Oryctolagus cuniculus: one gene and its partner. The protein of the gene in region 1 purifies or fractionates together with the protein of each later gene. This does not show direct contact. Links are inferred from orthologs where the notes say so. Each region holds a gene or a part of one and is shown in the gene's direction. Other genes may lie near its edges.

Region 1 (6,763 bases):
TAGGATTGCCTTAGGGGCGCATGGCAGCAGGCCTGAGTGCGGGTGCGGAGCCTGCGGGGGCTCCCCGGGCGTGCGAGCGGGGTCAGGGACCCCGCTTTGAGAGCCTGTGTGTCAGAGAACGGAGACTACGTCTCAAAGTCTCAGACGTTATCTTTTATTTTCCTAACATTTTTATTGTAAAATGACGTAAAGGTTACCATTTCGCGCGTACCGTTTGGGGGCACTGAGAGTCACGCGCAGCCATCAGCAGCATCCACGCAGACCTTGAGCGAGCCCGCCTCCGTGGCCGGGCCTCGTCGGGGCCCCGTGAGTGCAGTCGCCCCGTGCCTGTCCCGTGGAGGTGACCAGGCCTCCCCAGGCCTCCCCCCTGCTGGCCGCTGCGCGTGGACACACCGACACCCCAGCCTCGCTCTGCGTTCCTGGGCGGATGCTGGAGGCCTTCGTCTGAGGACGCGCGCGGCCCGCAGGCCGGGCCTCTCCAAGGGAGTTGGAGGAGGGGACCAGCACCCGGGGCTTCTGTCCGACGAGGCCAGGAGCAGTGGCCGAGGAGCCGGGGTGCCAGGCGCCACCGAGCCCCCGGGAAGACGCCACACAGCCGCTCTGCAGGGGCAGGGCGAGGCCAGCACGGGGCAGAGCTGTGTGTGGGCCCCTGTGTGACCACAGGGAGCTGGCCTGCAGCCAGTGGCCTTTGCCCGCTGGGTCCGAGTGGGAGCGGAGGTGACAGCAGGACTGCGAGGGCGGCTGGGGGCCCAGGTTTGGTGAGTGGGCAGAGGGCAGTGCCAGGAGCTCCCAGGAGATGGTGCTGGCCGGACCGGGTGGGCACCTTCCGGGGTTCCCTCCCCCCTCGTGGCCAGGGCTTCACTGTGAGAGAAAGCGCCCGTCTTCTGACTCGGCCCAGGCGCCCCTACCCCTGGGGCTTGGCTGGAGGTCTCCTGTGAGAGCCCGTCACCCTGCCCCAGCTGTGCCCCCGCGGGAAGCGTTAGCAGGGCTGGAGCTGGGACGCGACCCTGCCCCGCGGGCCCGGTGTCCACCCGAGCGTCCCCAGGGCCCCGCTGAGGACGGAGGGCCTCGCATGGCTTCGTCACTGCGGTAAAGGGGGCTGGAGCCTGTCCCCCACCCTGCGAGGGGCCTGGGGGCCAGGCCGAGCCCCGTCCTGTCTCCTGCACCGGAGCCCAGTGCTGGCTGGGTGAAGGGCGGCAGGCGGGGGACCAGGCAGGAAGGAGGCTGTGAAGCCTGCGCGAGGCCCCGGGTGCACCATCGCCCCTCCCACACGGCCAGGTCAGGGTCAGCCTGGGTGTGGCCCCCAGCACCAGGCCGCGCCGGCGGCCACACCCCTCCATGGGACCACGTGCCCCAGACCCCACTGCTGGGGTGGCGTGATCCCGGCTGGCCTTGTGCCCTGGTGGGGTTCCCCCGGAGGGTGCCGTCCTGACCCAGCACCGCACCGCACGGGGGCTGCGGCAGGGCGGGGGGTGGCCGTGGGCGCTGTGGGCTCCCTGGCTGTGGGACTGTGCGCACGCTGCCGCCTCCAGCTGTCCACCCCCACGGGAGGGGGCCCTGCTTCTGTGCACACAGTGCCGACAGGCCAGTGGACTGGTCCGGCACACAGCCAGTGGGGGGGCCGGGACCAGGTGGGGAGAGGGCACCTTCTGGAACCCACCATGGCTGCCCTGCAGCTCTGCTGAGGCCGGGCTCCTGAGAGGAGGGTGCGGGAGGCTGAGAGCTTCCCTGGGGAGCACGGCTCCTCTGAGCTCACGCGTGCGGGAGCCTCGTGCAGGGCCCGTCCCAGGGGCGCTGGGACCGCTTGTGGATCCGTGGGGGTGCAGCCATTCCACCCTCTGAGCCCGGGCGGAGGCCCCCAAGGGCCCCTACCCGACATGACCCTTTCCCTCCCAAGAGCCAGTGAGCGGTGGCTGGGGTGGGCCACCAAGGGCCCTGCCCTGATCCCGATGGGGCACCCGCGCGTGGGGCTCTGCGCCCAGCCTGTGCAGTGAGCAGCCTGGGTCACTGTGTGGACAGTCAACGGTGTGGCGGTCACAGTGTGGCGAGGGCTGTGTGGACAGTCCCCACCCGCTGCTCCGAGGCAGAAGCGTGGCGTGTCTCCGCCACTCCCACAGACACCAGGGCTGCGAGTGTCCCGGCCCCGCGCTGTGCTCTCCCTGCTAGGGCCAGGGCTGCAGCCTTGAGCCCACTGCACGGAGCCGCACCACGGAGCCCCGGGACTGGAGGGCAGGGCCCGGCGCCCGGCCCTGGCGGGTGGCCCACGGGGAGGCCGAGCCGTGGGTCTGTGGGCGGGCTGCTTCCCTCCCGCTGGGCCTCCGGGGGTGCCGTGGGGCAGGCGGCCGGGGAATGAGTGCGCAGTTTGGGCAGTGCCTGTGAAGTGGCTTTAGCGGTTGGCGTGGAGGAAGAGGCCTCTCGGCAGAAGGGAAAGATTGAGGGCTTGTACAGTTTCCTCCTCGAGAAGCCGCTGTCACGGGCTCCCTGCTCGGCCGCGCAGGTTCCCCGCCAGCCTCTCCGCCGGGCACAGCCAGCGGCCCTGCACCCTCGTCTGAACGGGGGCGTCACCTTTCCCTGCCCTGTGCCCCGGGCGGCCAGCGCCAGGGGGCTCACCCGTGGCCGTGGGCGAGTTTGCACCTTCACTTCCCCGCCTCGGAGACAGCGCGGGCTCCACGCCGGGCGGGCGGGCTCCACGCCGGGCGGGCGGGGCTGACGTCCAACCCGTGTCCTTGCAGGAGGACATGGCGGCTCACGTGGGCGCGTCCCGCACGCCGCAGGAGGTGATGGAGCACTACGTGAGCATGTACATCCACGGGAACCTGGGCAAGGCCTGCATCCCCGACACCATCCCCAACCGCGTGACGGACCACACGTGCCCCAGCGGGGGCCCGCTGTCGCCCAGCCTCACCACGCCGCTGCCGCCGCTGGACATCTCGGTGGCCGAGCAGCAGCAGCTGGGCTACATGCCGCTGCGCGACGACTACGAGATCGAGTACGACCAGGACGCCGAGGCGCTCATCAGCGGGCTCTCGGTCAACTACGACGACGACGACGTGGAGATCGAGCTGAAGCGCGCGCACGTGGACATGTACGTGCGCAAGCTGCGCGAGCGCCAGCGCCGCAAGAACATCGCGCGCGACTACAACCTGGTGCCCGCCTTCCTGGGCCGGGACAAGAAGGAGAAGGAGAAGGCGCTGAAGCGCAAGATCCCCAAGGAGGAGAAGGAGCTGCGGCTGAAGCTGCGGCCGCTCTACCAGTTCATGTCCTGCAAGGACCTGGACGAGCTGTTCGAGAGCATGCACAGGGAGAAGCTGCTGCGCGCCAAGATCCGCGAGCTGCAGCGCTACCGGCGCAACGGCATCACCAGGATGGAGGAGTCGGCCGAGTACGAGGCGGCGCGCCACAAGCGCGAGAAGCGCAAGGAGAACCGCGGCCTGGCCGGCTCGCGGCGCGCGCGGGAGGACGGCAGGGACGGCGAGTTCGCCGCCATCGAGCACCTGCCGGGCTTCGAGCTGCTGTCCGACCGCGAGAAGCTGCTGTGCAGCTCCCTGGGCCTGAGCCCGGCGCGCTACGTGACGGTCAAGACCATCATCATCAAGGAGCACCTGCAGAAGCGCCAGGGCGTGCCCTCCAAGAGCCGCCTGCCCGGCTACCTGGACAAGGTGCTCAAGAAGCGCATCCTCGCCTTCCTCACCGAGAGCGGCTGGATCTCCAGGGACGCCTCCTGAGCCCCGCCCCGCGCCCCCGGGGACGCAGGCGCGGCCGCCCCCACCCGGCCCGGCGTGACCACGCAGGCGCGGCCGCCCCCACCCGGCCCGGCGAGACCCGTGCGGCCGAGCTCGCTTCGGAGCGCATTACGAGGCTGCGGAACGGCCTTTCGTGTTGTGTGTTCTTCCTTTTAGGTACAGACTCGTGCCGCCGGAGCCGCCCGGTGCCACCGAGCTGTGCGGAGCCGCGGCTGCCCAGGCGCGGCGCCGGGCACGAGCACTTTACCGGAGGCCGCGGAGAAGGCGGGATGGCGCTTCCTTAGGCACCTGCTGGGCACGGCGACCGCCGGCCGCGAGCGGGAGCTGTCCTTCCGGCCCGGCCGGCCTCGTCCCCCACACAAGGCGCATCAGGAGGGGCACGCGCCCGTGGGCCCCCAGGGGTGTGTGCCGTGCTGAAGAACACGACTTCACAGGTTCAAGGCTGAGTTCTAGGCTCTGGCATTCGCTTCCTCAGGACTTTCATCACAGTTCAAGTTCCCTTTCCGCTTAGGACGCCGGCCGGGCCAGCTGGGCACCCCGCATGGCCGCCGCGCCGGGCCGTGCTTCCCGGCCTGCACGCTGCTTCCCGGCCTGCTGCTGCCTCCTGGGCCTCGAGGACGGCGGGTGGCCTCGTCCTGCAGCTCGCGGCAGCGCGGGGCTCTGGGCGCGGCTCGCCTTGGCGCCCGCGCTGGATGACCAAGCTACGCGGGAGCCAGGACACCTCCCTTCCAAGGACGAGTTGATTACGGTGCCTTTCCCTTCTCATCCTGTCCCCAGGTAGGACCTCAGCATTAAAGAGAAGCATTTCAGACCGGGCCCCAGCCAGCCTGGGTGTCGCTGGCTGCGTTGGCCGCCCCAGGGGCCCTGAGGGGAAGCAGGCCCGGGAGAGGTGTGGGGCCGGGCGGGAGCCTGTGCGCCGCGGCCTGCTGCGCCCTACGCCGAGGTAGGAAGTTTCCCTAGGCTTGACTGTTCAGCCACCACGATGAATGTATCATTAATTTATGTTGAAGTATTAACGCGTTCCAAGGGAGACGCAAGCTCAGGACCGGCTACTCGTCCGCCCCCGCAGCTGTCCGTCAGTCGCCCTCGGCGTTTTCTACCCAATTCTCGTGACGCGTGGCCGCCGCGCCCCTGGAGCAGCGTTCCAGCATGCGGGCCGGGAGAGGTGACTGCGGCCGTCTGCGCGGCCTGGGCGGCCACACCCGAGCATGTCCCGCGGTGTGAACTCCGAGCGTTTTTACCCCCTTTTCCACATTAAAGGAGTTGAGAACACTGTGCGCGCATGCTTCTCGCCACCTGCCCCTCGGGGCCCCCAGCCCCGGCCGCACTGCTGTCCACCTGCAGCTCTGGCCGACTCCCGCTGCCTCCATGCAGCCCGTGCTGGGTGAGCGCGCGGCCGCCGTGGGGCCCCGCTCGTGACTGGGGCGACTCAGACTCGCAGGACCTGCCGGGTGGGTGTCAGGACCGCTCAAGCCCCGTGAGATGGCTCCCACCTTGCACAGCGGCCACGCGCGCCCAGAGTGCTGCCCGCTGCCGTCCACGAGCCGTGGAGAAGGCAGCTCTGTCCGTGTCTCTCCAGCAGCGTGGGCCGGCTGTGCGCTGACGGGAGGGGCCGCACGCGCTCGCGGAAGCCTCCCTGCCACCGCCAGACGGACAGGGTGCGGTGCGTGTGGGCGCAGCCGGCGCTGTCCTCCCCGCCCACCCCCTCGCGGCAGGTTTCTGGCGGGGTCAGAGGTCAGAGGGCGGGACCGCGCCTGCGCCCACCCACGGGTCACCAACCACGCCCCAGCCCCCACACAGGCAGCGTGGGGGTCTCGTTTCTCAGCCACGTCCCTGCAGGCCTTTGAAGACCTGGATGAGTGGGCGGTCCCAGGCGTTCCCGCGGGCTGGCCCGGGGACCTCCACCCCAGGACAGAAGGCATCAGAGAAGAGAGACGTGAACTCCGGCTTTAATGCTCTCACACGAAGGGCCGGCGCGCACCCTCGCGCCCGGGGAGGTCCGCCGCCCTGCAGGCCGCTGGTCGGCGCCGGAAGCGCTTCTGGTTGCGGTGAGCGAGACCCAGGTGTTGTCGCTCCAGGGTGGCTGCCCGGACTCAGCAGGAAACACGCTTCGGCTCCAGCCGTTCCCGCGCTGGGCGCGCACACACTGCGGACGGACGGCGCGTGCGGGGACCCGAGCGACAGCTTTTATTGTGTTTGGGCAGAGACAGGGTGGCTCGCGCCAGGCGCCAGGCCGGGGGTCCCGTCCGCCCTCCGCGGCCACGGGGCCCGCGTCACCTGTCCCAGCAGGGTCCGGGGAGGGCGGCAGCCCCAGGGCTACGCCTCCTTCACCACGCCCACGAGCGCGGGCCTCAGCGTGCGCCCGTGCAGCTTGTAGCCCACTTTGCTGACCAGCGCCACGGTGCCCGCCTCCTTGCCCTCCACGGGCGCGTGGAACAGCGCCTCGTGCTCGTAGGGGTCGAACCTGGCGCCCACGGGGTCGAGCCTGAGCAGGCCGTGCTTGGCGAACACCTTCTGCATCTGCGCCTCCGTCAGCAGCAGCCCCTCGTACAGGCTCTTGAGGTGCGGGTTGTCGTCCCGCACCGCCTCCCGCGGGACGCTCTGCGTCGCCTTCTCCAGGACGTCGGCCACCTCCAGCAGGTCCTTGCAGAAGCCCTGGATGCCTGGGCGAGCGAGACGCGCGGCTGAGCTCCCGCGGACTGCGACCCCCGGGGCCCAGCACTGCCCCCTGACACGGGGAGCACTGCGACCCCCGGGGCCCAGCACTGCCCCCTGACACGGGGAGCACTGCGACCCCCGGGGCCCAGCACTGCCCCCTGACACGGGGAGCAGGGGGGGACACAGCACTGTCCCCTGACACAGGGGAGCAGGGCCCAGCCGGCTCCCTGACACCACAGGGCCCAGCACTGCCCCGACACGGGGGAGGGGAATACAGCACTGCCCCCTGACACGGGGAGTGGGGGGGGGGGGAGGACACGACACAGCACTGCCCCCGGACACGGGGAGCAGGGAGAGGACAC
Region 2 (7,433 bases), about 170 Mb from region 1:
GTTGGGAAAACGGGATTAAACCATAAAGATGAAGACTGGCATATGAGTAGAGTAAGCATTCAATAAATGAGACAAGAGGTGTATGGCCCTAAAAGATAGATGGGAGAATAATGTTGACAGACATAAGTGCTAGTTAAAATCCAGGGATAACTGCTGTGCTGTGCAAAGTGCTGTGAGAACGTAAGGTAGAGCGGTGTCCTGGGGAAGCGGTGAGGGTGCTGACTTAGAATGAATGCAAGGCGGCCAGGGCTGTGGGGACGGAAGGGCATCTCTGGCATCAGTCACAGCTCAAAGGGTCGACTGTAGAAGCATGGCTGTCTCAAGAAACTAAGTAGGGTAATATCGCGGGAACTACGCTGATCATTTTATCCAGGAGCTCCTTTCTGCTTCCACTGCACCTAGAACAGCACTTCCATGTGCTTTTATATTCAAATATTCTGTTTCCCTCCCTCAGGACGGAGATCTTGCATTACTTGTTCTTCCTGTCCTCGCGTAATGCCTGGCATTCGATAAATGTTTGTTGGACTTGAAGAGGTACATGGGCCATGAATCCAGAAAGGTAGGTTGAAGCCAAATTGTGAATTTTGTTGAATGGTAAGCCAAAGAATTCTGATTTTTTTTTTCCATTTGGTAATGGGAAGCCATTAGATTTGAGCTTTTTAAATTTTTTAAAAAGATTTATTTGTAAAGCGGAGGGGGGCCGGCACTGTGGTGTAGTGGGTAAAGCCATGCCTGCATGCTGGCATCCCATATGGGTGCCAGTTCGAGTCCAGGCTGCTCCACTTCTGATCCAGCTCTCTGCTAAAGTCTGGGAAAGCAGTGGAGGATGGCCCAAGTCCTTGGGTCCCTGCACCCAGATGGGAGACCAGGAAGAAGCTCCTGGCTCCTGGCTTCAGATTGGCCCAGCTCCAGCCATTGCGGCCATTTCGGGAGTGGGCTAGCAGATGGAAGACCCTTCTCTGTCTCTCTGCCTCAGCCTCTCTGTAACTCTGCCTTTAAAATAAATAATCTTTTTTTAAAAAAACTGCTACATTTAAAAAAATAAAACAAAAAAGAAAAGAAAACCAAAAGGAAGAGAGAGAAAGAGACAGAAAGAGATTTTCCATCTACTGGTTCACTCCCCAAATGCCTGCAGCGGCTCTGGTTGAGCCAGACCAAAGCCAGGAGCCTGGAACTCTATCTGGGTCTCCCAAGTGGGTGGCAGGGGCCCAAGCATTTGGGCCATGTTTTGCTGGTTTCGCAGGCACATTAACAGGGAGCTGGATGAGAAGTAGAGTGACATCAGCACTCTGATGTGGGATGCCAGTGTAGGCAGCAATGCCTTAACCCACTGCACCACAACACAGGCCCCTACATTTGCATTTTTAAAAGATTGTCTAGGGTCCAGCATTGTGGCACAGCGGGTTAAGCTGCTGCTTGGGATGCAGCACCCCATATTAGAGTGCTGATTTGAGTCCCTACTACCTCACTCAGATTCAGCTTCCTATGCCTGGGAAGGCAACAGAAGATGGCCCAAATGTCTGGGCCTCTGCCATCCATGTGGGAGACCAGGATGGAGTTCCTAGCTCCCTGCCTTTGGCCTGGCTCAGACCCAGCTGTTGCAGCCATTTGGGGAGTGAACCAGTGGATGGAAGATCTCTGTTTCTCTCTCTCTCTCTCTGCTTTTCAAATAAATAAATAAATCTTTAAGAAAGATTATCTAGCAGCAGTGTGGAGAACAGATTAGATCCAAGAGAGACTAGAAGAAGGGATACCACTTAGAAGGCAACAGAAATCTCCTTTCTAGATGTGTCAGAAGTTGAAATCATAAGATTGTATAGATCAGTAGTTCATAAATTTTCCACCAGCAGCAGTTAAAACATTCTCATGCTTGACAGACACATATCTCTTTGATTCTACTCCCTTTTCTCCTATTGACCTGGCATAGATGTGTCAAGGTACTCTGAGAAGGGGCCGGTGTTGTGGTGCAGCGGGTTAAGCTGCCACCTGTGACACTGACATCCCATATGAGCACCAGTTCAAGTCCTGGCTGCTCCTGTTCCAGTCCAGCTCCCTGCTAATGCATCTGGGAAAAGCAGCAGAAGATGGCCTGAGCACTTGGGCCTCAGCCACCCACCTTGGAGACCTGGATGAAGTTCCAGGCTCCTGGCTTCAGCCTGGCCCAGCCCTCGTCTTTGTTCATTCATCTGGGGAATGAACCAGTCGATGGAAGATCTCTTTATGTTTCTCCCTCTCTGTGACTCTGCCTTTCAAATAAACAAATAATTCTTTTAAAAAAGATGCACAAGGCCGGCGCCGCGGCTCACTAGGCTAATCCTCCGCCTAGCGGCGCCGGCACACCGGGTTCTAGTCCCGGTCGGGGCGCCGGATTCTGTCCCGGTTGCCCCTCTTCCAGGCCAGCTCTCTGCTGTGGCCAGGGAGTGCAGTGGAGGATGGCCCAGGTGCTTGGGCCCTGCACCCCATGGGAGACCAGGAGAAGCACCTGGCTCCTGGCTCCTGCCATCGGATCAGCGCGGTGCGCCGGCCGCAGCGCACCGGCCGCGGCGGCCATTGGAGGGTGAACCAACGGCAAAGGAAGACCTTTCTCTCTCTGTTTCTCTCTCTCTCACTATCCACTCTGCCTGTCAAAAAAAAAAATGCACAATACTTGAGGCTTGATATTTAAGTATCATGCATGATGGTGGTTCTGGTAATGAGTTAGTAAGGTGAGATGGAAAACACGGACAGTAGAGCCCCAGATACTGTTTCAGCTATTAGTCTGCTATGACTCAGCTTCTACCATGTGGTTGTCTGGTAGGAGTTATCAGGGTGTGATAATGGCTAGCATCTAACAGCTAAATTTCTCCAAATTTTTTCAGGGAGAACATCTTTGGTCCTGCATTTGTCTGACACATTTTTATGTAAATAACTGGCTGGACTTCATATTTTTCACTATAGAAGCCTAGAATCTACAGTGGCCAGAGAGCTAAACACATTACTTTTAGGATATCCTCTACATTGAACCTGAGAACTCTTCCCTTATTCCAAAATGTTGAGGTACTGGGGAGAAATACCAATGTCGTCAAACCAGGCCAACAGAAGTTCCTTTGATTTGCTCCCCCGGGAGTTCCGTCTGGTGGAAGTCCATGACCCACCCCTGCACCAGCCCTCTGCCAACAAGCCCAAGCCCCCCACCATGCTGGACGTCCCCTCAGAGCCGTGCAGCCTCACCATTCACACCATTCAGCTGATCCAGCACAACCGACGTCTTCGAAACCTTATTGCCACAGCTCAGGCCCAGAATCAGCAGCAGACCGAAGGTGTAAAGACTGAGGAGAGTGAACCTCTTCCCGCCTGCCCAGGGTCACCTCCTCTCCCCGATGACCTCCTGCCTTTGGACTGTAAGAACCCCAATGCACCATTCCAGATCCGACACAGTGATCCAGAGAGTGACTTTTATCGGTAAGACAAGACTGCCGTATCTTTCCTTTCTCGAGTTATCTTTCCAATAACCTGTTATTCCTGTAATAGCATTTTTATTTCCCCATGAGGAAACGAAGGATAAGAGGAATTGACTTGGACAAGGTTGCTCAGGATATTGGGGGAAATCCAAGCCTTGAACCCCAATCTTCCAAACCCTGAATATATTTTTTCATTTTCTGATGCCTCAAATATTTACTGAGTGCCTGTTTTATGCCAGGCAGTTCACTAGGAGCACTGGCTTCATAGTCCATAGGCCATGGCTTCATAGTCCTCAGAATCTAGTCTTTGTATTTAGTATAAAATGAGTGTTACGGGCTTAGCTCAGGGTCTTCAAATGTGGTTCATGGGCTTACACAGGTATTATTAGGAAACCACAAGTCTATGCAGGAATTTTTCAAACTGTGTATTTTCATTCTGCTAATAGAGTTTAAAAAATAATAACGTAAAAAAAGTCCTTGATTCTTGCTACCCAAATCTGGCCCAAGACCATCAGCATTAACATCATGTGTGAGCTTGTGAGAAATGCAGACTCTCAGGTCTTGCCAGACCTGCGGAATTAGAGCCTGCGTTTTCACGAGATCTCCAGATCTCCAGTGTGAGAGGCCCTGCTCCACACGCCTGAATGACTTCCTTGTGGACTAGCACTACTGCTACACTTCTGTGTGTAAGTGTGTATTGAATGCCAAATAATTACTTTGTTTTCCTTTCCATTTTGAAATTTGTCAGACCTACAGAAAAGTTTTAATCGGTAGTACAATGAGCATTCAAACACCTGTCATCTGAATTCACCAGTGGCTAACAGTTTTCCACATTTACTTTCTTATACGTGTATGTGAAAGTCTATACACACACACAGACACACACACACTTTTTTTTGGCCAAACATTTTAAAGTAATTTGCGTACATCTCAATATTTCATCCATTTATTCAGTGTGCATCTATCTTCCTACATAATCACTGTACTGTTATCTCACCAAAGTAAATGAACATTAATTAAATTATACCATTTAACAAGACCATATTCAGACTCCTCCAGTTGCTACCAACATCTTTTACAAATATATTTTCCTGCTGGCGCCGCGGCTCACTAGGCTAATCCTCCGCCTTGCGGCGCCGGCACACCGGGTTCTAGTCCCAGTCGGGGCGCCGGATTCTGTCCCAGTTGCCCCTCTTCCAGGCCAGCTCTCTGCTGTGGCCCGGGAGTGCAGTGGAGGATGGCCCAGGTGCTTGGGCCCTGCACCCCATGGGAGACCAGGAGAAGCACCTGGCTCCTGCCATCGGATCAGCGCGGTGCGCCAGCCGCAGCACACCGGCCGCGGCGGCCATTGGAGGGTGAACCAATGGCAAAGGAAGACCTTTCTCTCTGTCTCTCTCTCTCATTGTCCACTCTGCCTGTCAAAAAACAAAACAAAACAAAACCAAAAAAAAAAAAAAAAAAAAACAAGTATATTTTCCCCTAACAAAGATTCATGCATCTAGCTGTTATTCTTCTATAATGTCTCTGTGAGCGTGGATCATTGGGTCTACAGAATGTCTCACCCACTGTATGTGTATTATTTCCTCAAGATTAAGTTCAGGTTAAAGATGTTTGGCAAGAATACTTTAGAAGTGATACTGTGTATCATTTATTATATTGGCCTATTGGTGATAATAGTTATTACTTTAGTTATCCCAAACTGTTGAGAAAAAAATCAGAAATAGACGCACTATGTAACAGTTACAGTTGGGCCAGATGATGTCAAGGTACAATGTATAGTTCCAACAAAATTCTGTCTATCATATTAAATTGATGGTTTGTTTATAGTTTTGTGTCAGATTTCTATTTTAGTTGTCTCCCATCCAAGTACTAACCAGCTCGGCCTTGCTTAGCTTCTGAGATCAGATGAGTTTGGTGGAGTGGCTGTAGACATTTCTATTTTAATTGTAAGAGCTTTGGTCTTCAAAAGTTTTACCTAGTTTTGTTCTATACATATTTAAGAGACTATAACAAAAATAATTTGGAGCAGCCATTGGGGTGACAAAAAATTGTTTTCCAAGTGGCCTATAAATTGCTCAAAGTGATACTAGTTTAGATTTGTTTCTTAAGCACTTCTGAAGCCTTTAGTGTTTGGCCCGATTATGATGGAAATATTAGAAAGTTATGGGGCAGGTGTTGTAGCGCCGCGGGTTACGGCTGATTGTGATACCAGCATCCAATATCAGAATGTTGGTTTGAGTCCTGGCTGCTCTTCTTCCTATCCAACTCCCTGCTAATATGCCTGGGAAGGCAATAAATGAAGGCTCAAATGCTTGGGTGTCTGCTACCCATATGGGAGATCAATATGGAGTTCCTGGCTCCTGGCATCAGCCTGGTCCAGCCCTGGCTGTTGTGGCCTTTTGGGGAGTGATTCAGCAGATGGAAGATCTTTTTCTGTTTTTCCTCTCTGTCATTATGCCTTTCAAATAAATAAATCTTTCCAAAAAAGGTTACTTAGCAACTGGTTGTCTCACAGACAGTATTAGCTACAATCAGATAATAGAGTGGGTGGATAGTGCCCCGGGCACTCTTGCACAGCACATGGCAACACATTCCATGTACAGACCAAGCAACAGTGATTTTCTATTCTCTCTCTCTTTTTTTTTTTTTTTTTTTAAGATTTATTATTTGAAAGGCACAGTTACAACGAGAGAGGGAGAGACAGAGGTCTTCTATCTGCTGGTTTATTTCCCAAATGGCCACAATGGCCAGGGCTGGGCCAGGCCAAAGTCAGGAGCCGGGAACTTCATCCAGGTCTCCCATATGGATGACACGATCCCAACACTTGAACCATAATCTGCTGCCTCTAGATGCACATTAGCAGGAATCAGAATCAGCAACAGAGCTAGGATTTTATTTTTTTATAGATTTATTTATTCATTTGAAAGTCAGAGTTACACAGAGAGAGAAGGAGAGGCAGAGAGAGAGAGAGGGGTCATCCATCTGCTGGTTCACTACCCAATTGGCTGCAATGGCTAGAGCTGTGCCGATCCGAAGCCATGAGCCAGGAGCTTCTTCCTAGTCTCCCAGGTGGGCACAGGGGCCCAAGGACTTGAGCCATCTTCTACTGCTTTCCCAGGCCATAGCAGAGAGCTAGATTGGAAGTGCAAACAGCCGGGACTCGAACCGGCACTCATATGGGATGCCGGCACTGGAGGCGATGGCTTTACCTGCTATGCCACAGTGCTGGCCCCGAAGCTGGGACTTGAATCCAGGCACTTTGATACAGAATGTGGGCATCTCAAGTGGCAACTTAACTGCTGTGCCAAACACTTGTCCCTATTACTTTTTTCAGAAAAAGTCAGATAGGAAATTTCAGGAGAGAGGTAAATTATTAAAGACTTACTAAAAGTTATTTTTTAGGCGTGGACACTTGGCACAATGGTTAAGATGCCACTGGGGATCCCTGCATCCCATATCGGAGTGCCTGGGATCTAGTCTCAGCTCTGCTTCTGATTCCAGATTTCACCCTGGGAGGCAGCAGCCATGGCTCAAATCTTATGTCCCTGCCACCCATGTGGGAAACCCAGAATGAGCCCTGACTTCTGATTCAGCCTGGTCTGCCTCCAGCATTGCAGTTACCTGGGCAATGAGCAGCAGAGGGGAGAGCTCTCTGTCTCTATGACCTTCAAATAAATAAAAATTTAAAAATTTACTATTGCTGGGAGATCAGGCCATTTTTGAAGTATTTTCTTAGATGAGGATTCTACAGCAGTGATTAGGGGGCAAAATGTTGAATTATGAAGAGTATGGAAACTGGAGTCCAAAGCTCCGCTGTTAGTAACTAAACAACCTTTGGCAAGTCAGGCCCTGTGAACTTCAGTTTCCTTACCTGGCAAACAGAAGAATAACAGTATGGACTCTAGCTATTTCACAGCATAGGGTAGGATGAAAATATCTTATAAGCTATGTATGTTTTAAATTGCCATTGTAAAGTTGTCTTCCTGGCTATAA

What was found. Proteins that work in one complex are often made in the same cells at the same time.
Region 2: the proteins of TADA2B (region 1) and SUPT7L purify together in Homo sapiens (affinity purification with mass spectrometry; 3 studies listed by BioGRID and IntAct, counting the BioPlex papers as one, with this or other methods). This does not show direct contact. The link is inferred for Oryctolagus cuniculus from reciprocal best matches to the Homo sapiens genes TADA2B and SUPT7L.

Annotation. Positions count from the first base shown.
Region 1 is NC_091433.1:3,114,599-3,121,361, reverse strand, and holds the end of TADA2B (transcriptional adapter 2-beta), read left to right. Parts: intron 1-2,732; coding exon 2,733-3,725; 3' UTR 3,726-5,015; downstream 5,016-6,763. Other genes in the region: GRPEL1 (grpE protein homolog 1, mitochondrial), read right to left, coding at 6,060-6,406. UniProt on the Homo sapiens protein: Coactivates PAX5-dependent transcription together with either SMARCA4 or GCN5L2.
Region 2 is NC_091433.1:175,345,565-175,352,997, forward strand, and holds part of SUPT7L (STAGA complex 65 subunit gamma), read left to right. Parts: intron 1-454; 5' UTR 455-559; intron 560-2,858; 5' UTR 2,859-3,028; coding exon 3,029-3,441; intron 3,442-7,433.